Linked DNA regions of Drosophila melanogaster. The protein of the gene in region 3 interacts with the protein of the main gene of each other region in a biochemical or structural test. Each region holds a gene or a part of one and is shown on either strand. Other genes may lie near its edges.

The links.
Region 1: of the proteins of Drice (region 3) and Parp1, one has a biochemical effect on the other in vitro, tested with the Drosophila melanogaster proteins (one study listed by BioGRID).
Region 2: of the proteins of Drice (region 3) and Dronc, one has a biochemical effect on the other in vitro, tested with the Drosophila melanogaster proteins (6 studies listed by BioGRID, with this or other methods).

What each region holds. Positions count from the first base shown.
Region 1 is NT_033777.3:3,580,661-3,591,557, reverse strand, and holds the start of Parp1 (Poly-(ADP-ribose) polymerase 1), read left to right. Parts: upstream 1-4,503; 5' UTR 4,504-4,578; coding exon 4,579-4,692; intron 4,693-6,047; coding exon 6,048-6,189; intron 6,190-6,244; coding exon 6,245-6,578; intron 6,579-10,897. UniProt on the Drosophila melanogaster protein: Poly-ADP-ribosyltransferase that mediates poly-ADP-ribosylation of proteins and plays a key role in DNA repair.
Region 2 is NT_037436.4:9,966,458-9,977,306, reverse strand, and holds Dronc (death regulator Nedd2-like caspase), read right to left. Parts: upstream 8,829-10,849; 5' UTR 8,420-8,828; coding exon 7,973-8,419; intron 7,464-7,972; coding exon 6,558-7,463; 3' UTR 6,305-6,557; downstream 1-6,304. Other genes in the region: vnc (variable nurse cells), read right to left, coding at 3,441-4,031; CG42455 (uncharacterized protein), read right to left, coding at 4,056-4,213, 4,306-4,384; CG6674 (uncharacterized protein), read left to right, coding at 5,335-5,643, 5,705-6,097; CG6685 (uncharacterized protein), read left to right, coding at 9,013-9,202, 9,266-9,473, 9,527-9,620, 9,686-9,835. UniProt on the Drosophila melanogaster protein: Involved in the activation cascade of caspases responsible for apoptosis execution. Effector of steroid-mediated apoptosis during insect metamorphosis. Overexpression promotes programmed cell death.
Region 3 is NT_033777.3:29,795,055-29,805,330, forward strand, and holds Drice (death related ICE-like caspase), read left to right. Parts: upstream 1-4,603; 5' UTR 4,604-4,843; coding exon 4,844-5,863; 3' UTR 5,864-6,530; downstream 6,531-10,276. Other genes in the region: sro (shroud), read left to right, coding at 1-644; Rnb (R and B), read right to left, coding at 788-1,696, 1,755-1,830, 1,892-2,439, 2,516-2,722, 2,788-3,126, 3,184-3,777, 3,855-3,947, 4,054-4,215; Etfb (electron transfer flavoprotein beta subunit), read right to left, coding at 6,895-7,605, 7,736-7,786; CG7789 (uncharacterized protein), read left to right, coding at 8,248-8,626, 8,691-9,232; ncd (non-claret disjunctional), read right to left, coding at 9,352-10,276.

The DNA.
Region 1 (10,897 bases), about 26 Mb from region 3:
CTTAGGCAAGACTTGGGGTGTCATGTCAGCCAATATTAGGTTTTTATCGATGACAGTAGAAAACATCGACATAAAACCTGTGTATTCAGTATAATTTCCACTAAAGGTTGGTAGCTTCAGGTTAGGCACATTCGGTCGTCGAAATAGAGAACTAGAAGGCCACTCAGTTCCTGGATATTGACGCATAGTTGAACAAGCAATCTCTCGCACTTTGCGTCTACTGAGGTCCGTTTTTATCATATACCACATTTCATAGAAATGTCTTTGAACTGGTCACGCACTTCGCTTCCCATTTGATTGAGGTCCAGTTTGGACCTCATTACAAATAGCAATGATGTATGTTTATGCACAAAGTCGGTTCTTTTTTGCACAGCCAAAACGACATGAATTTGGCGGTCGGCAAAGAAGAAACTGCTGCTACGCGTGAATGCTTAGCTGCGTAAGCAAAGAAACAGAAAACGAAACGAGAGCAAGCGAATGCTTGCGATAAACGAAAAGAAGATAGGGCGAAAAGTACAGCCACTTATGTACACACAAAAGTGCACCAAAATTTTTGTTTTTGAGTTCACGATAAAGAAATGTTACCGATCACGTCGGGGTCACCAAATATTGTGGCAGTCCCCGTACCGAACCGATTAAGAGTTAATGTGCATCACAGCAGTACCGGTAAGATCAACACTTAATTTGTGACTGACTTTGCTATGGAGAAGGCAAATGAGCAAGTTGTACAAAACAGTTGCACATAAACAGTTGTGCTCGCTCACTATTAAGAGAGAGGAACATAGCACAAAGGGGAATGCAAAATCTGTTGGTGCACAGAGCAATGTATAAAAGTGATATAATAAAATAACTTATGATTCGCTGCTGCTGGCTGCAGGCTGCATAACCAAACAAAAGACATTAAGGAAATATTAAATCACTAACAAAAGCCTTTAATTATTGCAGATCTAATTGATATCTCCGTATTCATAATTGTACATAACGAACTCTTAATTATTTATATCAAGTACCCTGTAATAACAAAAAGATGTGAAATTTATTTTGCCAGATCCATTCACTAATAACTAATCAGATCGCCAAATGGGAAAATACTTTTTATGAAATATCTAATTTTAAGAACAAACTTTCTAATAACTATGGTATTTTAAGTAAAGATAAAACTTGTTTTACCCGCTTACTAAATGGAGAGAATTAAATTTGCACCAAGATACGAGAAAAAATAAGAATATAGATATCATTCAAGAAGGTGCCATTCTAATAATAGGAAATAATATTGTAAGCAATTCTCATTTAGACGGGTCATATTTAATAACCTTCAACAGCACAACTACAATAAATAATATTTGATACACCAATTTAGAAAACAAATTACTTGAGTACATAACCACTAACCACTTTAAGAATCTGGACTTATCAGATTACATAAAATCCAACAATTCAGAACTTACTCTTGACAACATTAATATTTTAAACAATTACAATTAGAAAATATCAATATCATTTTTATTATTAATTTTAATCATTTTGTATTTGAATGCTACATTAAAAATAAAATTCAAATACGTATATTAATTTGTAACCAAACAAAAATGACAAGAAGCTTTTATCCTAAACACTAAACATTAAAAAAAAAGACGAACTGCAGTAGAAAGATCATATTATTAATATGACCACACCGTCCAACTGAAGAAAGCTGAACGATATCATTTACAGAGCCGCTCAACTGAATGGGTTTGACTACTTGTTTAGGTTTGAACGTTGTAACTTAGTTATATGCAAAGACACTAGAATAACAAGATGCGTAACGGCCATACATTGGTTTGGCACTATGCAGCCACTTTTTAAGTGACGGCCAAAATTACTCTCTTTCCGCTCACTCCCGCTAAGACCGTAAGAAATCTAAAAATATAATTTGCTTGCTTGTGTGAGTAAAAACAAGAGACGAGAACGCGTATAAGTGTGCGTGTTGTGCTAGAAGACGATTTTCGGGCCGAAATCAATTCTGATCGAAGAAACGAATTTACATGGTACATATTAGGGTAGTTTTTGCCAATTTCCTAGCAATATGATAAAATAAATAAATAAATAAATCCGCGGCCCATTTTAGAAAAAGATGATAAAGATGATTTAAATTTTAGAATACAAAAAGATTTAACTCTTTACAATCACGCGGTCAAAAAAAGTGAAGTCAAAAGTGTAAAACATATTCAGTTGAGCCAAAAAATTAAGATTTTTTGTTATGTTTTTGAAAAAAGGATATAAAAACAAATTTAAGAGATCAGAAACTTTGCTATTTAACAAATAACTGATCTATTCATACATACAAATTTATTTAAGTCGGATTGCATATAACAAAGACCCTAGAATAACAAGATGAGTAACGCCATACGATTTTTTGGCACACGATATTTTCGCCGTGGCTCTAGAGGTGGCTCCAGGCTCTCTCGAATTTTTGTTAGAGAGCGAGAGAGCGGAGAGCGCTACAGCGAACCGCTCTTTTCTACGCATACAGTGATAGCAGACAACTTTATGTGTGCACACGTATGCTCATGCATTGTAAATTTGACAAAATATGCCCTTCACCGTAGAAGTTCTTAGACTTTAAATCTATATTATTTTTGATCAATTGGCACCATGCGAAAAATTCTTGTTTTGCATTGCCTTAACGTTATTATTATTTGAAAATAGATTAGAAATAGCCAAATCTATGTACATAATATCACAAAAATAAATTTCAAAAATGACTTTATATAAGAATATTTGTCATTAGAGTATTCATCTTGCGGCGTGTGAAAAATTAATAAGGCAATGATTGTTGAGTGCTTGTGTCCGCACTTCGTGCCTCAAGATATGAACAAAGCAAAGACACTAGAATAATTCTAGTGTCTTTGATGTGACTTTTGCAATAAACAGTTTTCATATTTTTATTTATTTTACAAATTTGTATTTTCTACTTCGTATTATTTTTATGAAATATTTATTTCTCGATGTAATGTATTCCTTTTGTTATAAGTAGTTATAATAATTTATATTTTACTTCCTTTAATTATTTAGCATACTTATTAAGTCATTTGACTTAATATGATTTATATATGATAATGATCCATTTTTATTATTTAAAATGCACATTAGATTCAGTTGTTTTTCAGTATGTTATTTAAATAACTGACGACTGAAAAATCGAGCAGTATATAATAAAAAACAATAGTTAGAAAAATAACTTAATTGGGGAATGTGGAAATGTTTTAATGTTAAACATTAAAATATTTCAAGTCGACTCGAAGGTCATATACGTAAATATAAGACCCCATTACAATTGTAATGGCCTCCCCGTGGTGTTCCCTGGGTACCGACTATTACACATATTACACATAAATAATTATCAACATAAATATAAATATGTAAACGGTAGCTAATTCGAGCGGCGATTTTAACAAACGAATTTAAAAAGCTTTAAAATTAAAAAATTTTAAAATTAAAATTAAAATTTTAAAATTATAATAAGAAGGGCGCGAATTTTTAAAAATTATTTTATTTCATCATATTGCTACGAAATTGGCAAAAAACTACCCTAATATGTACAATGTAAATTCATTTCTTTGATCAGAATTGATTTCGGCCCGAAAATCGTCTTCTAGCACAACACGCACACATATACGCGTTCTCGTCTCTTGTTTTTACTCACACAAGCAAGCAAATTCTATTTTTAGATTTCTTATGTTCTCAGCGTGAGCGAGCGGAAAGAGAGCAATTTTGGCCGTCACCAAAAAAGTGGCTGCATAGTGCCAAACCAATGTATGGCCGTTACGCATCTTGTTATTCTAGTGTCTTTGCCAAAACTAATGGTTGGGGGAGTGGCATATCCATAAGTCCATTAGACTTAAGCACATGCCTACACACAGCTTCTTATTATAGAAGAACAACACTAGTAAACCAAAAGCAATCCTGACTGGAATAAGCCCAAAGTCGTATACAGGATGATAATCGAAAACTTTATTTTAAGATTTCAATAAACAAAGTCGTGAGGATCTAAGAGCGTTTGTATCCAATAGCGAATGAACTCGAGTCCAAGAGAAATGCAAAGACAAATCAATGTTAGTAACTCCAAAGCTCTGTTTATTTCATTGGAACTCCAAAATCCAAAGCCCATATTTATAAAGCTCGAGGCCGAGGATTCAAAGTCAATCAATCCATATCAATTTGTTGAGTTCAGTTTCAGACCTTAATTAAAACGGTCGGTGTTATTATTCAGTAAGAACATAATTACCATTCCTTCTTAATCTTCCAAATGACCACCCTTTCTTGTTAAACTAGCTGGTGTATAATCGACACAGAATTTTAATGTTGCCGAATTCAATTACAAAGTTATATAGTTAACAGTCGTACGTCTTATAACAGAATACAGCTTAATTACGGAATGAGCTCCTGTACAAGGTCTTTAGAATCATTGGAAATCGTCTATAATAATATTTTTGTAGTCTTTAACATCGATATACAATTTTATTATTTAGGAAAATATCGCCAACATAATTCGATAAATAATAAATGTCTTGAAATTGACTTCCTTTAAAGTGTAATATGGATATTGAATTACCTTATCTTGCTGAGTATGCAAGAACTGGACGAGCCACTTGCAAAGGATGTAAAAGTACTATATCTAAAGATACTCTTCGGATTGCTGTCATGGTTCAAGTAAGTTACTATGTGGTACATACATACGTAAGTAGTCTGCAGATAAAAGATTGAAAATGAATTTGATTAAACTGATACTGATTTACGAAACTTTAAAAGATCCCGATTCGCCGTTAGTCCCATCGGTCGTCGACAGCTGCGGCATGTAATTGCCAGCGGTAAATCGTGTAGCGGTGGGGGCACAAATACTTGCGTCGCTCACCCACAGGGTGCCAGTGGCTTGCTGCAGTTCTCTGGCCCAGTGTGCGTGTGGCAATGCGTGCGGCCGAAGAAACGAAAACAGGTCCTCAAACATCACGTGAAATCGAAACTAGCGGGAACGACAGCGGGACTGACATTGGTACTGACAGTGGGACCGACATTGGGACCGACAGTGGGTCCGACATTGGGACCGACAGTGGGACCGACAGCGGGACTGACGGTGAGACCGACAGCGGGACTGACGGTGGGACCGACAGTGGGACTGACAGCGGGACCGACAGTGGGACCGACAGCGGGACTGACGTGGGACCGACAGTGGGATTAACAGTGGGACCGACAGCGGGACTGACAGTCGGACCAACAGTGGGACTGACAGTGGGACCGACAGCGGGACCGACAGTGGGACCGACCCTTCATTTCTTCTACCGTCACGCTTCAACCTATAAAAATGTTGCTTGTGAGTCGCTCACCCAAAGGGTTATTTCGCAGCAGGCGAAACACTCGGATATTTTTTATTGCCGAAAGTAGAGTGTCAAAAAACACCCGGGGGTATAGACACCCAGTTGGTGGGTGCGGGTGTACTAAGAGTGCCAGTGGCTTGCTGCAGTTCTGTGGTTGGGGCCGCAAAAATTGTAAGACCAGCTGAATTTTCGCCATGTCCTCACATGGTGATGATCGTTCTGAAACAAACTTTCACAGAGCGAAACATGAATACTAGCTTTTATAGTTTTCGAGATCATAGCTTTCATACAAAAGGACAAGGCCAATCAAGAATACCATGTCCGTCTGTCTGTCCGTATGAACGTCGAGATATCAGGAACTATAAAATCTAGAAGGTTGAGATTTAGCATACAGATTCTAGAGACATAGATGCAGCATGACCCATGTTGCCACGGCAACTCTAACGCCCACAAACCGCACAAAACTGCAACGCCAACCCTTTTGAAAAACGTGTTGATATTTTTTTTTTTCATTTTTATTAGTTCTGTAAATTTCTATCGACTTGCCACGCCCACTTTAAAGCCCTAAAATTGCACAAAACTGCCACGCACACACTTTTGAAAAATCGTTTTATTATTATTTTTTAATTGAAACGGTTACACCAAACGAACGAAAGACAAAGAAACTATTTTATTGTATTTCTTATTTTTTAGTCTGCATTTCATGATGCCAAAGTTCCGAATTGGTTTCATAAAACCTGCTTTTTTAAAAACCAGCGTCCCAGCTCAGTAGGAGACATACAAAACATTGGAAATCTCCGATTTGCCGATCAAAAGGAATTAACGGATCTTGTGGGTTAGTATTTAAAATTGATCTATATCAATTTAAAAACATTTTGAAATGTACTTAGAAAATATACAAGAAGTTATAAGCGCACAATTAGGAAAAAAGCGATCGAAGGCTTTTAACTTAGCATTAAAAGACTTTGGGATTGAATATGCAAAATCTAGTCGATCGACGTGTCGTGGATGTGAACAAAAAATAAACAAGGATCTAGTTCGCTTACGTAAAACTGTTTATGATACTGAAGTTGGTATGAAGTACGGAGGCCAACCTTTGTGGCATCATTTGGAATGCTTCGCCCAATTGCGCTCTGAGCTTGGCTGGTTTGCGTCAGGTGAAGATATGCCAGGATTTCAGAGCTTAGCAGATGATGATCAAGCGAAAGTTAAAAACGCCATACCGTAAGTTAATCTCACATTGAATTTCTATTAACTGTTCTGTAACTGTTCTGCATTGCTATTATTAAGTTATCCCTCTTAAAGAAAATAAGCTTGATTATACTGAAGATTGTAAACTGAAATAGATAACTGTAATTTGATCCACTAAGTATTCTGATCTCTTCTTGGTCATTCCTTAGTTGGGGATGCCCTTCAACTATATAGGTACAATAGTGTATATTCTTTGTTAAAAAATATTTATCAGGTAAAGGCAACATTTCCGGCACTAAAAAAATTAAATAATCGATCCCACCCTAAAAGATAAGACTCGAATTGTCCATGTCCGTATGAACGATGTGATTGTGGGAACTATAAAACTGGGTTGCGATTAAACATGCAGATCCGAGTGAAGCGGGCATATCAAAAGTTTTTTGACAATTGTAGATTGTAGAGGAAATCAACTATAACTTCGCCTGTAGTTTGTCGAAAAGTCAAGTGAATTTAACAATGTTATTTAATATATGTAAGTCGACCTTAATCGATGGGCATTGGTTGTATCGCCGCAGGAAAATAATGTAACTATTTTTCGCTATATTTAGGCTGGGTCGTGATTATTTGAGCGTAAATGTAACAGCTGAGTTAAAATTATACTGGAAAGGTACATACACTAGTGGGCATAAGTATTTAGACACCATTAGCTTGAAACTGCCGGGCTTTTCATAGTACAGTCAAATAAATAAGTAAACTATTGATGATAAAACAAAAAGTGCAATTACAGTTACACACGAAGGGTAAGTTTGGCTGTTTACCTTTTCAATTATCCTTGTGCTTATAAGAAAGCTAGACAGGCAACGATTTGGGCCGTGGCAAAAGTATTTAGACACATTTAATTAGTTCGCATTGATCTGTTGTTCGAAGAATATCAAATTTTCGACTTTTTTTTTAGATCATTTGAACATTTTTTCTTGATAACGTGGGACTGCCTACTTTTATTTCATTCATAAATTTGTTAAACATGGGGAAAACAAAGAAACTGAGCGAATTTATAAAAAATTGAATAATAATTAAGTATAACTCTGGTATTTCGGTACAAATTATCATTGATTTATACAAAATTCCACGGGCAACGGTGCATTACCAAATAAATAAATATAAAAAAACACACACAACCAAAAACGTTGCGCGTAGTGGCCGACCACGTAAAACAACTCAAAAGGGCGATGGTTATATTATACGGAAGTTTAAGCAGAATGTTCTACAAACTCCCCGATCGGTTGCCAAAGAACTAAAAGAAGGAACAGAAATCGATATCAGTGAAGGAACGTCTTAAGGAAGCCGATTTTGGAACATATGTTAGCAGAGTTATACCACAATAACTCTACAAATAAGTTAAAACGCCACGACTTTGCCAAAAAATATGTTGGACAGCCAGCATCATTCTGAAACAATGTTTTGTGGAGCGATGAAAGCTCTTTTGAGTTTCACTGATCAAAAAAATTTTTTTTTGTTAGATTACCGAAACATTATCGTAAAAAAGTGGCACCAGTGTGTCAGTGAATAAATCATTCAGGAAAAAATATATATAGATGTCCTTAATAATCATGCATTGCCCTAAATTGCTTGGAGAGTCCTTCATACTCCAGCAGGAGTATAAGGTCAGCATAAGGTCAAACTGATTACGCAGTTTCTGAAAGATGTTTGCGTAAACACATTGGATTAGCCACCTCAAAGCCCAGACCTCAACATAATAGAAAACCTCTGGTCATATATAAAACAAAAAAAGGCGTGCAAACTTATCTAAAAGTCGCGAAGAAACGATTTTGGAAATTCAAACCTTATGGAAGGATATTTCAATAGATTATATCCACAGCTTGGTACAGTCTGTACCAAAACGTATGCAACAGGTGATGTAAGGGAGGGTATATTTTTTATTAATTTGTCATAATTTTTTAGTTGACTTTTTTTTATTTGAATTAATAATATTTAAATAATTTGTCCAAATACTTATGCCACTGCTAATTTGTAAAAAAGTAATTTTTGTTAAAAAACAATGAGAACAATGAGAAATGGAGAACTTCTCCATTATTTTTTGTTACCTAATTTAACAACGATAGCCGACCTATTTACTAAAATGATTAAACAATAGAAAAGATAGAAAAAAATTGATGGACGGATTTACCAGGTAAACGACAGGGAACTGCAGCCACTAAGATTATACCCTAAAAGCACGACTTTAAAGCACTGCTACCGATTTATCCGGCTGTCCCATTCATTGATTTTATGATCGAGCATTAACACGTAAGCGAATTAGTTGACGTTTGTCGCTGCTTTCTCATTTGCTTGCGACCACCATTATACCGTTATCTTTACTGTTTTAACGTTATGACCGGTTCAGCAGTAGGGCTGTTGTCTGACAACGGGTAGATCCCAAAATATGGCGTCATTGTATGTCACGACCCACGAAGGCCATCGTTAGGGTCAAATTGACCAGGACCATACCATTTGGAGTTATATTTTGCGTTTATTAATGTAGCGAGGTAACACTGTTGCGCTTACAAACAAATATTTAATTGTAAACACAAATTTTGTTTTTCGGTTTCGGATACATTTAAAAAAAGTATAATTTTAATATAGGGCTTATATCTGTGTCAGCGGCGCAAGCAGTAAAAAACTGTGCATAAAAACTGTGCACTATGGGAAATTTAACTTGTTTTGTCGGTATATATTAATATCTCGTAAAATATTTAAGATTGTAAATCCAAATGTAGAATTAGAACGATTAGGACGACTTCTTCTGGCCTAGAGACTCAGATAGCGTGACAATAAAAGGATGTAACGGCGGATCGTCGAGTTCGGTATGAAAGCTTGTGCTCCTTATAAAATAAGTATTCAGAACAAACTGACTTAAAACGTAACATAAAGACGCTTCATAGCGGTCTCTGCCAATACGCTGAGCTTGCCGGCTATATAAAAGCTTCCTGTTAACATACTACAATAACTTGAATGCTCTTGAATGCGCCTTGACACTACAATTCCTCTTATAAATATACAATTAAAATTAGCATGATTATTAATTCTACAATTAATAGCCTGAAAATTAAGCCCTTTAATTCATATTTATTTTCTCTTCTTTCTTTTAATCCCTCCTTAATTTATTATTTTATTCGTTATGGTAAGCGGCAGACAATTTTACTGGATCCCAAACAATACTTGGAATCTTACTTAAATTACTCATCATTGAATACTATGATGAACTATTAATATTTTGTTGTCCTTGTGTAACCGGACGCATTAGTGACTGCTTCAAATGGTTACTTAACCCAAATATCCAAAATTTTCTTTGAATATAATCTGGTGTGATTATATCTGGTGTGAAACCAGATTAATTCCGCCGTGTAATGTTTCCCTATGTGCATTTTTGATTATTAACGATGTTAAATTACACGTATCTAGAATTTCGTATAAAATTTAGTTCTGTAGTTTTGTAATCTACCTTCCACTCTTTGCCCGTCTTTATCTAAAAATGGGTTCAATGCTAATGTTTTCCTTTTAGTATCAATATCTTTTTGGTGCTTTAAACATTGTATCTCTGAACTAAACTGAATTTCCGGCTGCTTGTTATAAATGCATTTGCTACCTTAAGTTCATTTGCTTTAAAATATGTGGGAAAAGATTTATTTTTTATTTTAATTTTATTATTTTTTTTAATAAATCTTAAGATATATGCAATAATTCTCTCCAACTTTCGAATATAGGAGCATTTTCCTAATAGTGATATTTTTAAATTGTTTTGGGCTTCTGTTAATGTAGTACTATCTAATTCAACCGCTTTGGCCAGTATTCTTGCGTCTTGAGGTCCCGTTAACTAAATTCTACATTCTAGTAATTTTTCTATTGTTACACCCCTAGTAGCTATGTGTGCAGGGTTAAAATTAAATAAATAAATAAGAAAAAAAATTGCATTTATTATTCCCATTTGTAAGTGTGATCGTTGGAACACTCCAGCTATAAGCCTTCGATTGACCTAATATTGCTGTCCTGAGGAGGGTAATAGATGTGCTGAAAGTGATGAAAGTTAATATTTAGTAATTTAGGGATGGATAGTTTTTTGATTTTTTTTCGGATTAACTTTTGCTAGTTATAATGCTTACTTTTTTCGGACGCATCAGAGAATCCATGAATTTGTACCGGAATTTTATCTTGGGATTTTACCCACCTTGGGAACCCAATACTTTTTAGATTTGTAAAGTTTTCTTTGAACGTATTCCATTCGTTGGCATCTGGATCTGATAAGTTCTGATCCAGACAACCAGTCTTAAGGGTCATACATTTTCGCATGTGTG
Region 2 (10,849 bases), on a different chromosome or scaffold from region 3:
TTTGCTTGCCTGCGTCAGAGAGAGAGATGACCAGAGAGCCGGCCAGCGGAAACGGAAATGGCAAGCGGAAACGCCAACGGATGCCACGTGGCCATTGCTAAGCATTTTGACAGCTGCGCCTGTCGCCTATGCAACAAAACACAGATACATTGCTCTACAGCGGATCAATAGGCATTCAAGTCTTATTAACTTATTACTTAAACTATCCTACAAGCATCATGCAAAAGTTCTTTGAAATTGTGGTCTGGCTATGAAACAAGCTTATGGATAGAACAAATAAATAAGATTATATGTTTTAGAGAATGTTGATTTGCCTATGTATATCGGAATTTCTTCAAGACAATACTTTTCTTATTTGTATTCATGTTCTAAAAATTAAGGAAAGGAAAAAAAAATAGAAAGGAGGAAATTAATCAAATTGCTAATTTCATCAACGTGGCTAGAAAAAGCAGCATTAAAAAAAACAAAAGCAGATGCGGTACCCTGCGCTGCTCTGCAAGAAAGCTGGCGTTTTTCAGCGAGTGGCAAGCAAAGTTGTTGACATCTTGTGAGCCAACACGTACCGCCAGTCGGCAGCAACAAAAACACACAGAACAGCACACAAAAAGTAGTAAACACTTGACGGGAGCAGCAGAAACAACACGAACAAACAGCCAGTAGTGCCAAAGAGAAGGAAGGACCAGAACTGAAGCTACGGCAAATGTTTGCTTAAAAATGATGCGAACCCCTACGAAAGAACAAGAATTTCGAAATGGGATGGGTTTTTGGATGGTTTTCTTGGTGGGCGGGGTAGATTGGGGGACTGGCGTTTGGGGATCGGATGCTTCTGCTGCCACTGACAGATGCAAGACGCGTTGACAGTGACAAAGACAATGATGACGACGACGACGATGGTTATGTTTGGGGCTCATCATCAGCAGGGCGATGAGGGGATGTTGGGATGGAGGCCAGCATTTGGCATAATCCTGCTGACAAAATGTCATTACACCATCCACACATAGTGGAGTTGCCTTTTGAAGTTTTCGGCGAAGGCGGAAAAGGCACTGCAAACTTAAATAAATAAATATGCCTTCCCGCTGACAAGTGAGGAAAAGTTCGTACAGATAGCATGTGCGCTGAAGTCTGTGTATTTTCATATCAAGGGAAAATAAGTTTTCAAGAGACATTTGCTCAAATTACAGTCATATTTAAATAACCCGAGAAATTGTTGGCGTTACTTCTGGCATTCTTGGCAAATTACTGCGAATGGATTTTTTGTGAGTTACTTGCATAAATGTATAGAATATGATAAATGTGATACAGTACCGCATTATCTATCTGTTTTCATTTAAACTTTATGTTATCTAGCCTAACACGTTATATATTTTTTTTCAATATAATTTGATGGAAACTTTGCAATAATTGGTGTAATGTAGCTGGTACCTTTTACTGCAAAGTGCCCGCCTAAATCCTGTTGACTTACCACAATATTTTTCGAAATAGTCCTTTTGCCGTAGTCTGGAGTCTGTTGCAGCTGCAGTTATTCCACTTTCCCCGAGGATCGCCAGTCACGCGAGTGGCCCAGTCATTGACAAATGGCCAGAGAACTTCTATTGTTTTATTTTTATTATATTTTACTTCTCTTCATTTTCAGAGCACTTTTCAATTGAGCTTTCTCCCGCTTCCCCGCGGAATTTGGCCTAGTTTGTTGTCTGCGATTTGGTGTTGTTTTCCAAATACATATTTATGTATGTATGTATGTGGGTTTTCCCCTGGCTTTGGTAGGCCTGCAGTTTTGAGTTACTTGGCACTTGGCTAATGCTTTTGTCTGCTTTTCTTCTGCTTTACTATGCTTTTCTTATGCTTTTTTCATGCTTTTCTGCCAGACGGGCGACGCAGTGTCTTTGCTTGCACTTGAGGAACCGTTATCTGGGTGGTGTACGAGTGTGCGAGTGTGTGTGCGCTTTTTTGTGTGGTTGAATTAGCGAGTGAGACACGAACTTTTGACCCCGTTTCGACAATAACAACACGAGAAGAGCAGAGGCTTGGCTTCCATTCTCCGGCTTTTTGAACCACTGGCCGGCTTTTTGGCTTTTCAACACCAAAAGCGCTTACATTTATGTCCGTGACTGTTTTGAGGGTTCTGAGGATTGCCCGAATGAAGGGTTTGCTGAAGTGCCCTGGCTTTTATTGATTTAGCAAGGCGTTATAGCCCGCAAATATAATACAAATCAGGCTCTCATTCGATTGGGGTTATCAATTGGCTTTAACTTTCGCATCAATAAAGTATGTTTACCGTTGGAACTTTAAGCACTTTCCCTCAACACATTCACAGTTCCATATGTTTAACGGCGCTTTTCACTAACGAATTGTTTATTGTTTGTTGTTTCCGCGTTTTTTATTGATTTGGCAGGGCGTTTTTTCCACAATCATAATAAATGCCAGTCATTTCCCGTTAGTTTTTTATAACCCATCAGTAGCAGTAGCACTACTTCCTTCGTTCTTCCTCTTCTCCCGTTGTAAAGAGTGGTTTTACCGTTAGGGTTTTATTAGCACTTTTCACTACAATAGCTGAAGTTCCGATTTGGGTTTTGCGCACGTTTTACGTAGCTAGCCGAAAACTGATAAAACATCCGCATACATGTTGTTTTTGCTCAGCCAGCGCCTCACGAACTGAGTTTAAGAACGGCGAAATACGCGAAAAGCCAGCATCTCAGCTCAGCTGTGATTGCGGTACTTTCGCTCTCTCTCTTTGGCGCCATCCGGAAAAGTACCGTACTCCACGTGGCTAGCGAACAGCTGTTGCCGCAGATGTTCCACTGAGCATGCGCAAAAGGAGCTCGCCGCGGGAAACTGGGAAATTAGAAAGCTCCGTTACTGGAAAATCGGTTTAGTGGGAACGGTTGCTAGCTATTTTCATATGCCATAAAAGTTTCTCCACCAACACGACACCTACAACTTGATGGCACCCAAAAGTTGGCGCGAAAGTCAACACTTCGCACATAAAGACATCTTTCCGCTTGGCCAACTTTTCGGGCCAACAAACTTTTCACATTACAAAAAGCGCACATTTTTTAACCCACATTTGGCATAAATTTTCGCATTACTTGGGTTAACCAGAGCTCTAGCACAAAAGAATGGTAGATATTATAAATTATTTGGGGAGTTTAGAAAACCACTCTCTTCTAAAACTCTACTCAAAATAAAATCAAAAAATTCGTCTTAATAGGTGTTTAATGCATTTATGCATTTTAGATTGGCAATTAGAAACAGAAACCGTAAATAGTATTATTATTACTGATTTAATGGCCTTCAAACCCTTTATTGTTAAAAACATTATCTTTTTGTCATTACTTTTGTTTTAATTTTAGTTACGTTTTTTATTGTTAAATAATTACAAAACCCTAATGCACAAAAATGCAAAAAACGTCGAAGCCAGCAAGCGCCGGCAGCGAAAGTGTTCAGCAACAATGGCCATCGTGACCGCTGTGGTTGTGCGAGTGGCCATGTCCGCCGGATCTGTGGACCGCCTTCTCCTCCTCCTCGCCTGACTGCTTCGCAGCCTTGGCCTGATCCTCATCGGCAAACTCGCTGAGGTCGCGTCGCATGGCATATGCATCCTCGCCATCGGCATAGTACTTGGGCTCCACCTCGATGATCTTGAACTTGAGGGCGTTGGTGTAGAGGTTCAGGGCAGCCCGATTGCTCTTCCTCACGTGCAGGGACACGTACTGGGCATTGAAGCACTCGACCATGGCCTGGGAGGCCTGATTCATGAGCTTCTGGGCCAGGCCCAATCGCCGATAGGAACGCTTGACCGCTAGCGAGGTGATGTGCCCATGGCGGCTCTCCTCATTGGGCTCCGGCTCCTCCATCTTGGCCAGGACATAGCCCACAATGGCGCCCTTGTCGTCAACGGCCACGTAGCTAAGCTGAGGCCAGGTTAGTCCGTGGTAAAAGTAGTACTTCATCTGGTAGTTTTCGGGTAGACACAGCAGATTGCAGTGCTGCATGGTCATTAGGTCTTCCGGTTTTGCGCAGCGGATGTTCATGGTGAGGCTGTGTAGATGTGCTTCCTAGTCTCGGCGAGCTTTCCTGGCTCTGCCGTGGTGGTGTGGCTGTTGATTCTGATGATCCCAAGCAAGTGGTTGCTGATCCTCCGGCTCCTCCTGACCCAACAGCTCTCGAACCAGACGAAATTTCGATAGAAACGCCTTCCAGATGAGGAACCAGCCTGCAAAATAGACAAATTTCAATATGACTTGTTGCTCGGATCGTAGAAAATTGTTTCCATTATAACGTGATCGTCTGCGGGCGCCTGCTTACCCAACAAAATAATTGCTGCGACGATACTAACAGAGGCTAATATGGTGAAAATGAAAGCCAAGCCCGTTTGCAGGGACATTCTAACGGGGTAGTACGAAATCAGGAAACTATAAGCATTAAACTATAAATGAAATTTGAAAATAATAATTAAAACTACTTGTCAAAGGGTTTAATTTTAGTTTCCAGCAGCGAATTAAATGTTTTTTCTCCCTATTTGGATTGCTATCACAATAAAGAACAGCTGTCCTCTGGGTGTGGCCGTTATTCAACACTGAATGAAACCAGGGATACAATTTCTTGTGCTCTTTTTGTGGTAATAAGTGGGATATTTGCAAAAATTAACAAAAGCACAAATAAAAATATTGCAATCAAATATATTTATATTCTTCTGGCAATCTAAAACTTCTGCTTTTCTAGTTTTAACATTTATTTAAAAGACCCTGGCACAAGTGACTTTAGTTGCCACCAAAAACCACATGGGGTTAGAAGTTCCACTAAGCTGTCTGAAAGGCCTTTCAATAGAAGCTGTTCGATGAATCGTCCTTTGAGACAGGCACACTATACACATGGTCACGCCTTTGGGTTAGTTTTATTCAATATCCACCTGGCTGTTTAATTTATTTATATTCGCGAATGAGCACACTTCTTCCACACTAAGTTTATACACCGGCACCAGTCTGACCAGAGTTTGCGTGGGCCGAAATTCCAAGATATCTTAGTTTGCAGAGAATACCAATCATACTGCTACTATATTGAAATAGAATGGGATAAATTCAAATCTGTTAATTTACGTTTAAAAAGTATTTTAACCCTATGATGTCAGTTAACTCACATAGTATAGACTAATCCATAGAAAAGGAAATGGTTTAATAGCTGCCTTAATAGTCTAAAAATACTGCACGTTACTAAAATACTAGATGAAAATACAAAACGGTAACTGTGAAAACAGCTGATTTGCAGCAAACAAAGTTACCTCTGCAAACACAACGCATTTAAGCAAATGCCATTTGTGCAGTTTAACTAAGTAAAATGCAGGAATTTTCAGCCAAACGAGACGCTCTTTTCGCATGTCTCGACGATGCGAGCAAAGAGTTGCGGGGAACTGCCTTGGATCAGAGCAAGGCCAAGGCGTTTTCCATCAATGCCCTCGATCGAGGAAACAAATCCGGAAACGAATCCGGACAGGTGATGAACTACCGCCAGGGTCGCAGCATTGTTACTGGCCTCGATGCGGAGGATGGAAGACTGCGACGAATGCGCGGCAAGGAGAGCATTTTCAAGAAGCCCGAACTCCCCATTGGACGCTGTTTGAAGCCAAGAAAAACGCCAGATTACCAGGTGACAGACCATCCCTCTGCAATTAGTTGTCCCCACCCTAAACGTTTGACCTACTCTCTAGGTAAACCCGCACAAATGGAAGAAGTACTCCCTGTCTGATGTGGACATTTCCGAACAGAGCAACTCCGCCGCCGCCTTGTCCTTCCTGCGACAAATGGATGCACAGCGCGAGGCTGAGGGCGTCGATAACGAATCTCCACCTACAGATGGCAAGATCGAGTTCAAGAGGACCAGCAAACTCAGCCGCAAGCTCAAGAGCCTCAAACAGCAGGAGGTGGATGATGTGGAGCTGGATAAGCCGCAGTTAAGAGGTTCCAAGCTGGTGATGCCTGAGTATGTAATTGGCCAAAAGCCGCATAAGCCAAAGAAATGCAAAACCAAATCGGAACAGAGCCGTGCAGCGGGAAAACTACAACTGTCCCACTTGGCGGAGGAGGATGAGCAGGATGATTAGGTTAAAATGTATGATCCTAAGATTATATTATATAATAATTAGTGTCCCAATGAAATTTTAGAAATGTAAATAGATTTTAATTATATACAAACTGCGGTTTGTTGTGAAATATCATCGTTTATTTTGTAAGTGTACACACTCAAAAATCAGACTGGAAAATTGCTTTACATTTTGCCTAAATGTTCGATTTCAAAAATCTGGCTGTGTATATACTGGAACTCTGTATTATAATATTTGTAGATTTCTGGCAGTTATCACATAAATTACATAATTTCGTACCTTTAAATGAGGTATGCAATACGTATTAGAAGAATACTTGAATGAGTATTTGTTACAATATAAACATTTTATAGCACGCGAGCACAGAACACATAATCTAAAAGACATACTAAATGCGACGATAAGAACATAAATGCGGTTAAAAATGCATCCGGAATGATAAAATGTCCAGTGGCGGCAACTATTCGTTGAAAAACCCGGGATTGAAGTAGAGTTTCTTATTAAAGCCAAGATTATCATAGGCACCTGTCTGCATGGAACCCTTCTTGGTGCGCTTATTACCCACGGCTTCGCTCGTCTTCTTTAGGATATCCTCAAGGTCTGTGTCGTGGGCATGATCGGCCATCACTTGGCAAAACTTCTGGATGTACCAGCTGCCCGTGTCGAGATCGCGGTGGGTAACATAGCCCGGCGTATTAGCATAGCAGACCAGAGTGTCGGCAAGACTTGGCACATTGGTGCTCGGGCTGGGTATGCCCTCCGTCTGGGTGTCAGGCCACTTCTCCTCTTGCGCCGTATACACTGGCTCCATGAGATTGCCTTGATTCTTTGGATGGCCCAAATCATATTCATCGCCGCGGCAAAAGGGAAACATAAGCACCTTCGGCTTGTTCACCAAATAAGGACATTTGGCCGTCTGGAAATGGTCCTTGATCTTCTGCATATCGACCACAGATCCATCGCAAAACTCCACCTTCTCTTTTCCCTCCACACTGTTGCCGTGTGTCATCAGTACCATTACGAAACACTCGGTATTCTGCACATACGACGAGGAGGTCACCATTGTCAGAAGTTTAAAGAACTGATCCTGATTCACGTTCCCATAGGGGAAAATCGTAAAATTCAGTTCTTGAAACAAGTGTATCAACGACTTGCTGTCCTTTTCGGCTCCGATCCGTCGACGGTTTTGATCCGGATAGTCCATTATGTTAACCATTAGCAAAACGCCTCGGTTGAAACGTGATTGCATCTTATATGTGCCCAATATGGCACTATCCCCACCATGTATCTTTTTCGATTTTTTTACCTCGGGACCGTCAACGACACCCACATAAGGGGTGAGTGCTCCCAGCGGCTCATTCCGGAGCTTTGGTAGGAGAGAGAAAGAAAGAACAAATTACAATAAAGATAAGATTTTCAATATATATATTATATTTTCATTGCACGGTTAATGTGGCAGACAAAGAAGTAATCAACATTCGTGCTATATAAACACAGCTGCCAGCAATATTGCGATAAGATTCTGGTTAAAAACAAATCCTACTAAAAGAATAATTGGGATAGGTAAGTAGAATGGATGTGATTCATGCTTCCAAAAAAAATGGAAAACAAGAATCTCATACACGAACTAACTTCTGAAAGAGAAGCAAATAATACTGTGCACATGTACCAAAGTAGTATTCATCATTGAGTCCATTTACAATTCTTAAAGATACCTTTTCTAATCTCATTCCAATAGGAATAACTCAATTAACAAACCTAAAAAAAAAAATGCAAATAAATTGTGCCATAAACCGGTTTTTTGTAGAAATCAGGGTCAATGACCTGAGCTGCAATTTCACCATCAAAGCTTTCGTATGATTTTATTTTCATTACCTTGCTAACGCAGGGTCCTTCGGAGGCTTCGGGTGAGGGTGTGTCCACAATATCGGCCGACTTCCGGCTGGTTCTCCGTTCGTTTAGCGAGATAAAGGGTGGCCTTGAATCGGACTCATCGACGGATTCCAATAGAACGGCCGCATCCAGACAATTGATATTGCGCAGTGCATTGATCAGCAGGTTATAGGCGGTGGGACCACGCTGGGTGATCTTCAATAGGAGCCTACGATGCTGCTCCACACGCACATCCTTCTCGTCCATGTTGAATGGCTTGCCATTGAGATCCTGCGTATTTCTTAGCATCTGAACGGTTAGGATGCCCTGTTGCACGCACTCCATGGCCAGACGCTCGTAGTTCGTCCATTCAACCAGTATATTCAGATTCTTGCGTATATGCTCGCGATGCCTCTTCGGCATTCCAATCTCGAGCTCCGGCGGCTGCATTCCGGATATGGCTTCCACGCGTTCCGGTGACTCCGCTTATTGGGCGCGCCAAGGATGGCTGCCGTGATCAGTCTCCAATTGGCAGTGGTATTGGCAGTGAATCACCCGTCTCCAAGGTTTTCCCGGGAATGATTTCGTTTATCGCTACTTGTCGATTCTTTGTCTCCGCTTTGTTGTTGTCGTCGTTGTTTTTGTTTTGCGACTTTCAAGAAAGGGGCACAAATCGGCGGCCCTGCTGGTGTCCTTATTTTTCCAAAAGTAAATTAACTAGTCTATATATTGCACTAGATGATCCTAGCAAGGATCGGGGATCTTCGAATAGGATTTCTTTCGAAACAAAAGGACCAACGAGCGTTTCGCGCCGCCAAACTCGCCACTAAACTAATAAATGAAACTTTGGGATTGGTGTGGCTGCTTGTGGGTGCGCCATTTTAACCAGAGAACGCGTCCGGGATAAATCCATGACATGAACCGTCTCCATGTTCCACTTATTCCACCATTCCTTCATTGCCGCATCAAATGATTCAATTTAATACTAAATACCAAATACCATATGGGGTCAGCCTAACAAACCGTAAACATAAACAAAAGAAATGGAGGAGGAGCAACAATTTACGCCGGAACCGAAAAACTCCGCGCAAAAAGGCGCAGAAAAGCCTGCAAGGATTCCGAGAGAGGTGAAAGTTAAGCTGCAAAGGCAACTAAACAGACTGGGCTACTCACAGCAAATCCTGCTCGAAGCAGCCAAGCAGCAAAATCAAAATAATTCGAATGGCATTCTCCGTGAGTTTTCTTAAAACATGCATAATGCAATAAAAGTACATTGTCCCCCAATCCCTTTTCTAGAGTATGTGGCCGACATGATTGGCAAGGGCGAGGAAATGGTGAAAAACTGCGACTCCGTTAGCTTAAACAACATTAACCAGTGGCTGGAGCTCATGAAAAGTTCGCAACTCGCTGAACTCTGCGAATTCGAAGCAGCCGTCGTTGTGAACTCCATAATCCAAAATGAGACAAAGCCATCGCCAACGGAACTGAACGGCATTGACTTGAAGTAGGAATGGTTTTGATAAACTACATTTGTATTTAGCATTGTGGTACTTTCAGTGAGGCCTACAAGTTTCTGGAAAACGCTTTGATGGGCCAGCCGCAAAAGAAGATGAGCGATGCGACCAAAGAATTTTTGTCCAAGGAAATTGAGGTGAGCAGAAGGCTGCATCAACTTTCCAAAATAGTTAAAAAAAAAGGAAATCCTAATGCCAACAGCTGCTCATAGAGAAGGCAAACACCGACGAATCCGACGATGTGGCACGCAGCATGGGGCAGCGTTTATTTGACCACCAGTTTTTGGATTACATGGAACAGCGGCAAAAGTGCAGTTTGGATCCACTATTCCTGGACGAGAAGCTAACGTAGAGGCTGTTATTGAGTAATTGAGGAATTTAGCACACAGAGCATTTATTCATTTCCACACATTTATTAAACATTTAAATTCAATTGTTTGTTACATACGTACATTGTCACACGCATTTGCACCGCTCCATTATCATCAATCAAATCATCGGATCCCACGTTTATACATTATTAGTATTACTATGCCAAATGCCCCAACCTTTGTACGTATTAATATTTGATAATTACACTCTTAATTAAGTACTTGACTATAAACAGTTTTAGCACATTTAAAATCTAGAATTCCTTTAGTTGTACACAATTACTTCGAGTAGTGTAAGAAAAAGTTGTGGGTCTTTGGCCTTTGGATTCTCTCAATTGCATAACATTTATTGTGCATGATTGTTTTCAATTGTTGGGGCTGCCAATTAGCATTGCATAGACTAGTGTAGAGATAGGTAGTTTAGTTTTAGGTTTTGCTACGATTAGCTTTGTTTTAAACTTTAAGAGGCATAAAAACAGTTGAGTGCTGCTTGACTCCCATAGCATCACAATAGAATCACAAGAGACAGAGTTGGCTTCATTTCAATTCAATTCATTAGAGGATCTAGGATGGTACACTTACGATAACATAACGTACATACGATCAGAATTACATACAAATTCGAATACAAATATAATACCCTTTTGTTTTAGGCGCAGTTACTAGCACTAAAACGATCTTCACACAATCAAATGCAATTCAATAATGTACATAATATAACTCTTAAATGTTCAGTCCAGTTTGAGCTTTTGGTTTTCCCCTTTTTCTTTGATTTAGATTTTGTTTTTAATTTTTTCATTTTTAAATTTTTTTTTTTGTTTCTTGTGTTTAGGTTTCTGTCTTGTCGCGTAAACATTAATTAAAATTAAGTAAATCTAATTATATATACGTACGATTAAACGCTAGTAAACCATATCGATATGCTTGTCTAAGGTGAAATAAATAAACAACAAATTCGGACCGAACAAAATGCAAAGCAATTTCAGGTGCATGGC
Region 3 (10,276 bases):
GAGTAATGTGCTTCGGGGAATTCGAGTGGCAGCTAACGGAGCAGATCGAGGCGCAGATCAACTGCAACCTGCTGGGCACCATGAGGCTGACACATGAACTGCTGCCCCTGCTCCGGCAGCAGCAGGGCAGGATCATCAATGTGACCAGCCACTGCGGATTGCAGGCTCTGCCGGCACTGGGTCCTTATGCCGCCTCCAAGGCAGCCCTTCGCTTCTGGACGGATTCACTCCGCGTGGAGCTGCAGCAGTATGGCATGGAGGTGGTCAACTTCATACCAGGCTCCTTCGTCCTGGACAGCAACATTGCGGCCAGACAGCAGCAGCATGCTCAGAAGATGCGCGAAGCCTTCAGTGCGGAGCAACACGCTCTGTACGACACTTACTTCGAGGCCTTCAATGGTTATCTGAAAGTACTGAGCGGCTTCAAGCCGCCCAATCGCCTGAGGAACGAGTCGCTGCTGGCAAAGTTTAAGGATGCATTGACCAGCTCACAACCCTTGGCTCTGTACATCGAGGAACCCCGTAGATATCGCCTCTATCGCTGGCTCTTTACGCTCTGCCCCACTCCGCTAGTGGATTGGCTCACGGTGCGTTTCTGCGCGATGCCCACCTACGAGTCAACGAACAGGCAGGAGAAGATTTAGATTAATCCGTAGTCTATACATTTTAAATATACATTGTAGCACATTGGAATACTTGGCTAAGGGCTGTGGCAAATAAAACGAGCTGAATCCAGGGAATGGAAAACGCCAAAATGTGATCACAGAACGCAACTGGGTGGTGGTGTCTAGAAGACATAGCCGCGACAGCGCTCGAACACCGCATCGTTGAGCAGCTGGAACCACTCGCTGGCATAGGTGGAGTCCTCCGCTGCCCGGAACAGCTGAAGCTTTTCCTGCGCGGGCAGCGCGGAGCAGAGATAAAAGCTGATGGCAGTTTCCGTCAGGTCGGCATGGTAGTTCTTCAGCGCCCACTCGAGCAGGCGCAGGCAGTTGTGTGAGTCCAGGTACTGGATGAGTCTTTGCTGCAATACCGCCTCCATATCGGGCATGATGTACACGCGGGCCATCTCGTAGGCCTGCAGCAGGGCGGGGTAATCCGGCTCGGTTAGATGCCGCTCCTGGCACACGATTAAATGCAGAAAGTAGCGCAGTCCACTGGCAGTGTAATCTGGCAGCTGAATCTCGCCTTGGTGACCCTCGCGGAAATCACTGTTGAGCATCTTGTTGAACACTTCGCTGGTGTCGCAGAGCAGCTGCTTATTAAACCCAATGGAGGTGGAATCCGCTCCATGACCAACGAGGAATCGCATGTCGCAGTTGGCGTGCAGCGGTGCGGTATCATTTGCAATTTGGTTGCAGATTCCTGCTGTACTCTCCGCTGGTTCGGCTTCTGGCATAACGATGCCCAGGGTATATCGCGCCATCGATGTCACCGCATCCGCCGCCTCATCTGCGTAGTGGTCCTCGGTCTTCTTGCGCAGCATCATGTCGAATAGCATATTCAGCGCATTGCCGTCGTACAGGAACTGATAGAGCAATCGATGGCTTTTAACTATGTAGGCCACCGAAATGGCGGCTCTCTGTTGGGATATCACATCGTCGCAGCGCAGGAGACGCACTAGCTCCTCCTTGCCATAATTCGATTCTCCCACATTGGTTAACGTCTCCAAGAAGGCGAAGCCGTCTTTGCGAATCTGAAATATACGTGCGGTGTTAACTGTGATGAACATTAGATGAATGGGCTCACTTTACCTCCTTCAGCTTGGTAAACTGGTACAGTTGATGGACCACGCCATGCTTTATTATCTGGGCAAAGAACTGGCTCTCACTGAAAGGATATACGTGCAATTAGAATACATGCTTATCCTTAGTTCAGCTTGACAACTTACAGTAGAATATTTGTCAGGGCATTTGGGAAATTATTGTTCGATCCAAACAATTTGATGGCTCTAATCAGAGTGTCGAGCGTCTCTGGCTTTCCCAGCTCCACTCGCTTGTTCACCATCAGCGTGATGCGATAGATAAGGTTTTCTATTATGTCAATGGTGTTGCATGTTGTATTGCGGAACGGGGCTAGTTTCGGTGGTACATCCGAGCTCAGTTCCTCGAGATCCTCTTTGTCGGACAGCGGATCATCTATGGGTTCGCTGCCCTCCTCAATTAGTTTCAGTATATCCAGAACATTCGAAGGCTGCGAACGATTGGCGGCTATGCGCCGCTCTCTTGTGTCCAAATTGCTATTATTTGTGCTGTCATCCTCATCTTCGTCGTCATCACTGCACGCCGGAGAATAGTTGTCGTCGTCATCATTCGTCAGCAGATCTGTGCACACCGGTGACATGCTGCGCGAACTGCAGGGACTGGTTGTGCGATAAGACCTAGGTGAACTGCTCGGCGATTCAAAGTCCGATCCTAAGGTCTCGTGGGTTTTTGAGAACTTGTGTGCAAAAAGTGGGTATAATTAGCAAGTGGCTTGTAAACATATGCTAGCTGCTATGCTGCTAAATAAATACCTTGCTCAGCGTCTCTGGCGTTGTGGGATCCGTCAGTTTTCTTTTTTTACCACCTTGCAGTCTCTCGTCTCGTCGACGTTTGTGATGCTCATCATCGCTGGTCAGGTAATCGTTTAGTTCCCGCACCAACATGGGCATTAGTCCTTCATACAGCATGAGTTCCATGCTTAAGTTATCATATTGGAAGTTGTAAAGTATGTGAAATAGCTGTTGGGTATGAAGAAAGCCATTATATATAGCAGATGTCAAGAGGGATTTGGTTTCCATCTCACCGATGATCGCTCGCTCTGCGAGTTGGAGTCCCGGATCATGGCCACCAGCTTGCGCAGTGCCCCACATCTCCGGATCTTCGAGCGGCTGCAGGCATCGGTGGATAGCGTCAAGATTATGTTGATGCAGTGCCGGCTCTCGCTTTCGCTAAGTGGCTTTGCCATGTTCACAGCCATGAGCATCTCGCAGGCAGCCACAATGGCATCCGCAGTGCTCAGCATGTAGAAGGCGAAGGGATCCTTGCAGAAGTTAGAGAGGATTTTAAGGGCAGAGGCCCGTTGGTCGCCGTCCTCCTTTACGAAGCACACAATGGAGGCGAGCGAGGTATTCCAGGAAATGGACTAACAAGAAATGTTTATTATGTACTACGTTTTGGAGAACTTAGAAAACAGTCTCACCTCCCAAACTTTCAGTCCAATTTGCTGCGCGGATATCAGGACCAGACACTTCAGAATCTCGAGGGCCAGCTCAACGGCCGCTTCATTTTCCTTGGGCAGCGCATAGTCACAGTTCCTTGTGGAATTCTTGAGCATCTGGTGGTCAAAGATGTCACTGCGAACACCCTCCAAATTCCGGGCTACCTCCTCGAAATACTTCTCACGGTGCTGGTTCCTCTTCAGGCCAATCAGCGTGGACATCTCGATGTCCGGAACGGGCTCCTTGGATGCCTCTTCGTTCTTCATCACGGCCAGAAAAATTCGCATCAGCTGCTGGAACCCATTGGCCATGAGGAAGTACTTCAGGAACTGGCTGCTGGCCAGAAGGAAACGGCAGACGCGGAATGCCATGATGCGGGTCTGCACCGCACTGGTGGACTCAATGATGTGGCAGATGGCCGGTGCAATGGCCGCATAGTGCACTGTGAGACACTGGGACGCCTTCTTGCTCTTGGCGATGTTTCCAAGCATCCGGCAGGCGCGGCACTGGATCAGGGGATTAGGTATGGTCTTCAGAATGGTCACCAGCGGGTGAATCACCTTGCATTCAACAGCCTTAAAGTGGAAAGTTTTAAATTTTTTTAACCGTTGTGGTTCAAAATAAAGATAAAAATGTAATCTGATAATCCCACCTCAATGCAGGACTGTTCGTCGGTGCAGCAGTTCCCCAGTATGCTCAGTACCACCTCCATTATCTTTTCATTCAGCTTGGTGATCAGTCGCACCTGGAAGACGCAATTAATAATGATTTAAAAATCGATTCGAATAACGATCCTATGTGAGCGGCAGTGGCTGTCAAACCACCATGAGCGTTGTGACTCCCAAACCCACCATGATGTGAACGCCCCCAGCAGTGCGAAATAAAACAATGCCATTTTTATCCTTCACCAGATCGGTGCGCAGCTTCACCAGGCATTTGTAAATGACTGTTCGATCCGTGGAGGTCTTTAGCACTTCCAGCATGCTCTCCACTTGCTCTGGTGTCCAGAACATTGGTAATTTTCTTAATTTTTAAACAAATTGAAACAATTCAACAAATTCTACAGTGCGTCTCAAACCTCTTTGAGAGTGTGACCGTGCATAAGAGCGTATTTTACGGTATTTTACGTTATTTTTCGAAAATCCAGCAGCGGTCTGCCTTATTTATAAACTGATGTTTACGTTTTAGCTTTGGATGCGAATTCGATTCTACAATAATAAATGGAAGCAGGCCTGTTTTTTATGTAGATTATACAAGTTCCCACAAAATTACCTCCAAGCTTTTAATTTCAAATTATTTTAATATTTTTTAAAACCCATTTAATAATTTTTCCTATATTTATTTACTTTCTTTGTTTACCGTAATCGTGACACGAGGGCTGAAGTGTCATCACCAAATCAGGCGCTATTTGGTGTTTTTCAACTGCCAACAACGGTCTTACAGAATTAAAGACAAAAACGCAATCGACTAAAGTAATTAGTTAATAACTAGCTGTCTTTGTTGCGCGTAAACACGGACTTTCCCCAGAACGAAGCTAATTTGCCCAAGTCGTGCATCCAAGCTTTTCACAGATTTGGAAAAACCTGTTTCGCAGTGCTTGTGACTCATCAGTTTTCGCAGGCTCAAGGAGAGAACTTAGCCATGGACGCCACTAACAATGGAGAATCCGCCGACCAGGTGGGCATCAGGGTGGGCAATCCGGAGCAGCCCAACGATCACACAGATGCCCTGGGCTCCGTGGGATCCGGAGGAGCGGGTAGCAGCGGCCTGGTCGCAGGATCCTCGCATCCTTACGGCAGCGGAGCCATTGGGCAGCTGGCCAACGGGTACAGCTCACCCTCGTCCAGCTACCGTAAGAATGTAGCCAAAATGGTCACCGACCGCCATGCAGCCGAGTACAACATGCGCCACAAGAACCGCGGAATGGCACTGATCTTCAACCATGAGCACTTCGAGGTGCCCACCTTGAAGTCTCGCGCGGGAACCAATGTGGACTGCGAGAATCTGACTCGGGTGCTCAAGCAGCTGGACTTCGAAGTGACCGTGTACAAGGACTGCCGCTACAAGGACATTTTGAGGACAATCGAGTATGCAGCGTCGCAGAATCACAGCGATAGTGATTGCATCCTGGTCGCCATCCTGTCGCACGGCGAGATGGGCTACATCTACGCCAAGGACACACAGTACAAGCTGGATAACATCTGGAGCTTCTTCACGGCCAATCACTGCCCCTCGCTAGCCGGCAAACCCAAGTTGTTCTTCATACAGGCCTGCCAGGGCGACAGATTGGATGGCGGAGTGACCATGCAGCGTTCTCAGACGGAAACCGATGGCGACTCCTCGATGAGCTACAAGATTCCAGTGCACGCCGACTTTCTGATCGCCTACTCGACGGTTCCTGGATTCTATTCGTGGCGCAACACCACCCGCGGCAGCTGGTTCATGCAGAGCCTGTGCGCCGAACTGGCGGCCAATGGCAAGCGGCTGGACATCCTGACCCTGCTCACATTCGTGTGCCAGCGGGTGGCCGTGGACTTTGAGTCCTGCACCCCGGACACTCCGGAGATGCACCAGCAGAAGCAGATACCCTGCATAACCACCATGCTGACGCGCATTCTGCGTTTCAGCGACAAGCAGTTGGCACCAGCCGGACGGGTTTGATGGCTAATGGTATGGATCAAACGGTGGGTACGGCGAGGTGTGTGATAAACCAAGTCGCAATTAAGTTAGAACCTCATGGGCTATCGGCCTTGCAGCATATTTTTTATACAACACTTTTTTAACCTGCCCAATTGCTCGACGAGATTGGTGCCACTGCCCGTTTTATTTTATTTAGGCACAAAGTATCTTTCGATTGACATTTATTAATGTCGCATTTACTCGTCTGTATTTATATTTTTTGGGGTGGGTAGAGTAGATCGATTTAACTTAGAAATCTAAGAGGTTTTTACTCCGGCCAAAATTTTTTGACAATTTTAACTTGCCAACTGAACAAAGACGATCTCAAAATTTTAAATTCTCTACTAAACCTTATCATAGAACAACTTGCGCCTCTTTGATTCTCGATCAGGAATGTCGGCCCACCCTTATCTATATCTACCTTAGACCATTTACAGACAAGACCTTTTTACAATTTTATACACATAGATATCTTTATAGTATAAGCCTGTGTGTCATGGTCGTCCAAAACGAAAACAAACGATTTTAGCCTGTAGTCGAGTGTTTTATGAACAATATATACTATTTCTATGCCATTTGTACTCTTATATAATGCACATTAGCAAATGTTCTCCTTTCAAGTTAACCGCTAATAAATCCGATTGAAAACAATGAGAAATCAATGACCATTGGCTGTTTGCTGTTGACCCTGTCGCCTCTTTTGGGCGCCAAGTTGAGCGGCATTTCCCGAAAAGGTAGCACGCGGAGACGGAAAAATAGACGAGTCCAGCCATTGGCTGACCCTGATCGTACGATTTCAGAGCTTACAATCACTTTATTCTTAGAGCTGGACACAACGAGAATAAATTCCAATTTATAGTTCACTTAAAGCACACGGGTATGGGTTGAATTCAGAGAAATTTAAAGCCTGTCAGCAAATCCGACTCTCCGGCTAGATAAATGCACGTTTCTGATAACTTTCGACTAATTAAAAACGTAGAATATGCGCTCACAATTTTCTAGTTGAGGAACATCTAGATGTGGCCGCCCTCCTTTAGCTTGGCCACCAGGGCATCCACGTCGGCGACGGTGGCGCCGGCCTGGCGCACAGGAGGATCCTCCACGGAGATGACCTCGATGCGGGGCGAGGTGTCCACGCCGAGATCCTTGGCCGTAACCTTCTTCAGCGGCTTCTTCTTGGCCTTCATGATGTTCGGCAACGTGGCGTAGCGAGGGGTGTTCAGCCGGAGATCGGCGCTCAGCACAGCCGGGGTCTTGGTCTTGATTGTCTCCAGGCCACCATCAATTTCACGCGTGATGGTCAGACCGGCGTCTGTCTTCTCGATCTTGTTGCAGAAGGTGCCCTGCGGCCAGTCGAGCACGGCGGCGGTCATCTGGGCCGTTTGGTTGGCATCATCGTCGATGGCCTGCTTGCCAAGGATGACCAGGTCGGCTTTTTCGTCAAGAGCCAACTTGGCCAGAATCTTCGACACGTGGATGGGCTGCAGAAGCTCGTACTCGGCGGCCGGGATCTCTACGTGGACGCCGCGATCGGCGCCCATGGCCAGGGCGGTGCGGATCACCTCCTGCGACTGGGCCGGGCCCACGGAGACGGCGATCACCTCCTCGGCCAGCTTTTTCTCCTTCAGCTTCACCGCCTCCTCCACGGCGATCTCGTCGAAGGGATTCATCGAGTGCTTCACGCCCTGGGTGACCACGCCAGTCTTGTCGGGCTTGACGCGCACCTGGACATGATAAATGTAACCTGAATTAGTTTAATTGCCGCTTAATTAAGGCGATTACGCAAAACAGAGCGCAACAAGTGATAAAAAGACAATGGGACAAGATGCGCAACAGGCGACTTTTCAGGCTCACCTTGACGGCGTAGTCGATCACACGCTTAACTCCAACCAAAACACGCGCCATTTTCTGCCAAATTAGTTATAAAATTGATGAAATTTACGGAAATTTACTGAGTTTCAAGAACTTACCTCTTCAAGATGGAAATGAACTGATTTGTTGGCGGCGGGGGCGCGGGTGGTCCAAAGGTCTTCTCCGGCTACAGCGTTGCCAGACAGAGCAGCCGATTATTTGCAGCTATAAAATGTCCAAATATTCCCGCTGAAATACATTTTTAAATTCATGTATCTTAAAGGACTAACAACTTTAAGCAAAACTAGGAAACATAATTTCTGAAACTGTGGAGTTGATGAATTACGAATTCAACTATTTACGGGGGAGTAGCTAAACTTTGTGCTTTTCGCTCCTCTCTAGCCGCCAACAGCTGTTCTACTTTCACCGCAATCACTTCTCTGCAGCGACGAAAACATCTCATTCCAATCTTGAAAAGATCTCCCGCATCCTTGTCCCATACAAATAAAATAACGATGGCTGCAACTGCTCCGGTAATTATGCGCGTCATGGCGTCCTCGATCAGCACCGCCAAGCGGGCTGGCGGCATCATACGCGACGTGCTCAAGAAGGGTGACCTGGGCATAGTGGACAAGGGCAAGAACGATCCGCAGACGGAGGCAGATCGCTCTGCCCAGCGTTGCATTATCGCCTCCTTGGCCAAAAAGTTCCCCACCGTCAAGATCATTGGCGAGGAGGGTGGATCCGATCTGAATGTCTGCGACGACTGGCTGGTGAACGAGTTGGATGAGGAATTCCTGCAGCACAGTTGCCCCGCTGAGTGGAAGGATGTCAAGCCCGAGGACTTTGTCATATGGGTAGATCCCCTAGACGGCACAGCGGAGTATACACAGGGTGCGATCTGGAGATACCTGTAGAGCTCCTTATATAAAACTAAATGTTCTCCTTTCATCCGCAGGACACGTTGAACACGTGACCGTCCTGATCGGCATAGCCGTGAAGGATGCTGCTGTGGGCGGCATCATTCATCAGCCATTCTACCAACAGCCCGATGGCGAAATGGGTCGCACCATTTGGGGCCTGAAGGGTCTGGGCACGGGAGGATTCACGGCAGTCCCCGCGCCAGCCGGCCAGTTCATCATAACCACCACTCGCTCGCATTCCAATGCCCTGCATCAGCAAGCCCTCAACGCATTCGCATCCACAGAAGTTCTGAAAGTCGGAGGCGCTGGGTTCAAAGTGCTCCAGCTGCTGGAGGGAAAGGCCCACGCGTACGTCTTCGCCACGCCGGGCTGCAAGAAGTGGGACACCTGCGCACCCGAGGCCGTTCTAGAGGCCCAGGGCGGCTGCCTCACCAACATCAACGGCGAGCACTACGCCTACAATGCGGATGTGGAGCACGTGAATCGACAGGGAGTGCTGGCCAGCCTGGGACAGGACCATGCCGCGCTGGTGGAAAAGATTCCCGCCGAGGTGCGGGCAGCAGTGGGAGCCAAGTGAGATAGCTTTGAATTCCAGCACTTTATTAGTTTATTTGCACTAAAAGTAAACACACATAAATTAAGCAATAACAGGTTAGAAATTTGAAAATTGTTAAAACTGGGCTCAGAATGCATTCTTTATTTATCGAAACTGCCGCTGTTGTTGCTCTGTGTGCTGCTGTTGGCCACCGAGTTGTTCAGGTAGCGATTCCGCTTGGCCTTGGTCATTTTGCAGGAGTTTACGGAGGCCGCGAAGCGCAGCGACTTGACGGACTCTTGGAAACAGTCTTGGAACGGCGAGACGTTGATGAACATAAGCGTTTTCGAGTTGCCGCCCAGCGAGGGCATCAGCAGGTGCGTCAGCTTGGAGTTCCTGTACGGGATGTGGTCCTGCTTCTGCAGCAGCGCCAGGATTACGTTGGTGAGCTCCGATAGCGAGCGATTGATGTTCTTTGTCTCGGTCATCCGGGTGCTCGTCTTGGGAGACTCAGAGCCGGCCAAATCCACCAGGTTTATGGAACCCACGGAGATCTCTTGCTTTTCGGCATGGCGTCCGATGAGCTCAAGCTTGGTAACCGCGTGGGAACGAGAGGAGCGCTCGTTGCCAGCTGTCGAGGCGGTGGCACGGTTCATCTTGGCCGTGTGCATGAGGTGGCGCAGGTGATTTGGATCCAGAACCGTCTCCTCCGTTATGTTGGACACGTAGATGTCGTTCTTGTTGTTCTTGGCCATTCGAATCTCCATGTCCTTCTGCTCGTTGCTCAGCAGATCGTAGAGCACCTCGTTGTAGATCTCCAGAAAGGTGGCCTTGATCTCGTACTCCCAGCCCAAGTTGCGATATCCCCGGATGGAGTCGAAGAGCAGATCCACCGTGCGCGGTATGACGCCCACACTCTCCGGCACTCCGTCCATTGTGTAGGTCTTGCCACTGCCCGTCTGTCCGTAGGCAAAGATGCAGATATTGTAGCCATCCAGGGCCGACTGGATGAGCGGCGAGACCATCTCGAAGATGTCCGACTGCGAGGAGAGCGGGTGGAAGACCTGGTCGAATGAGAAGATCTGC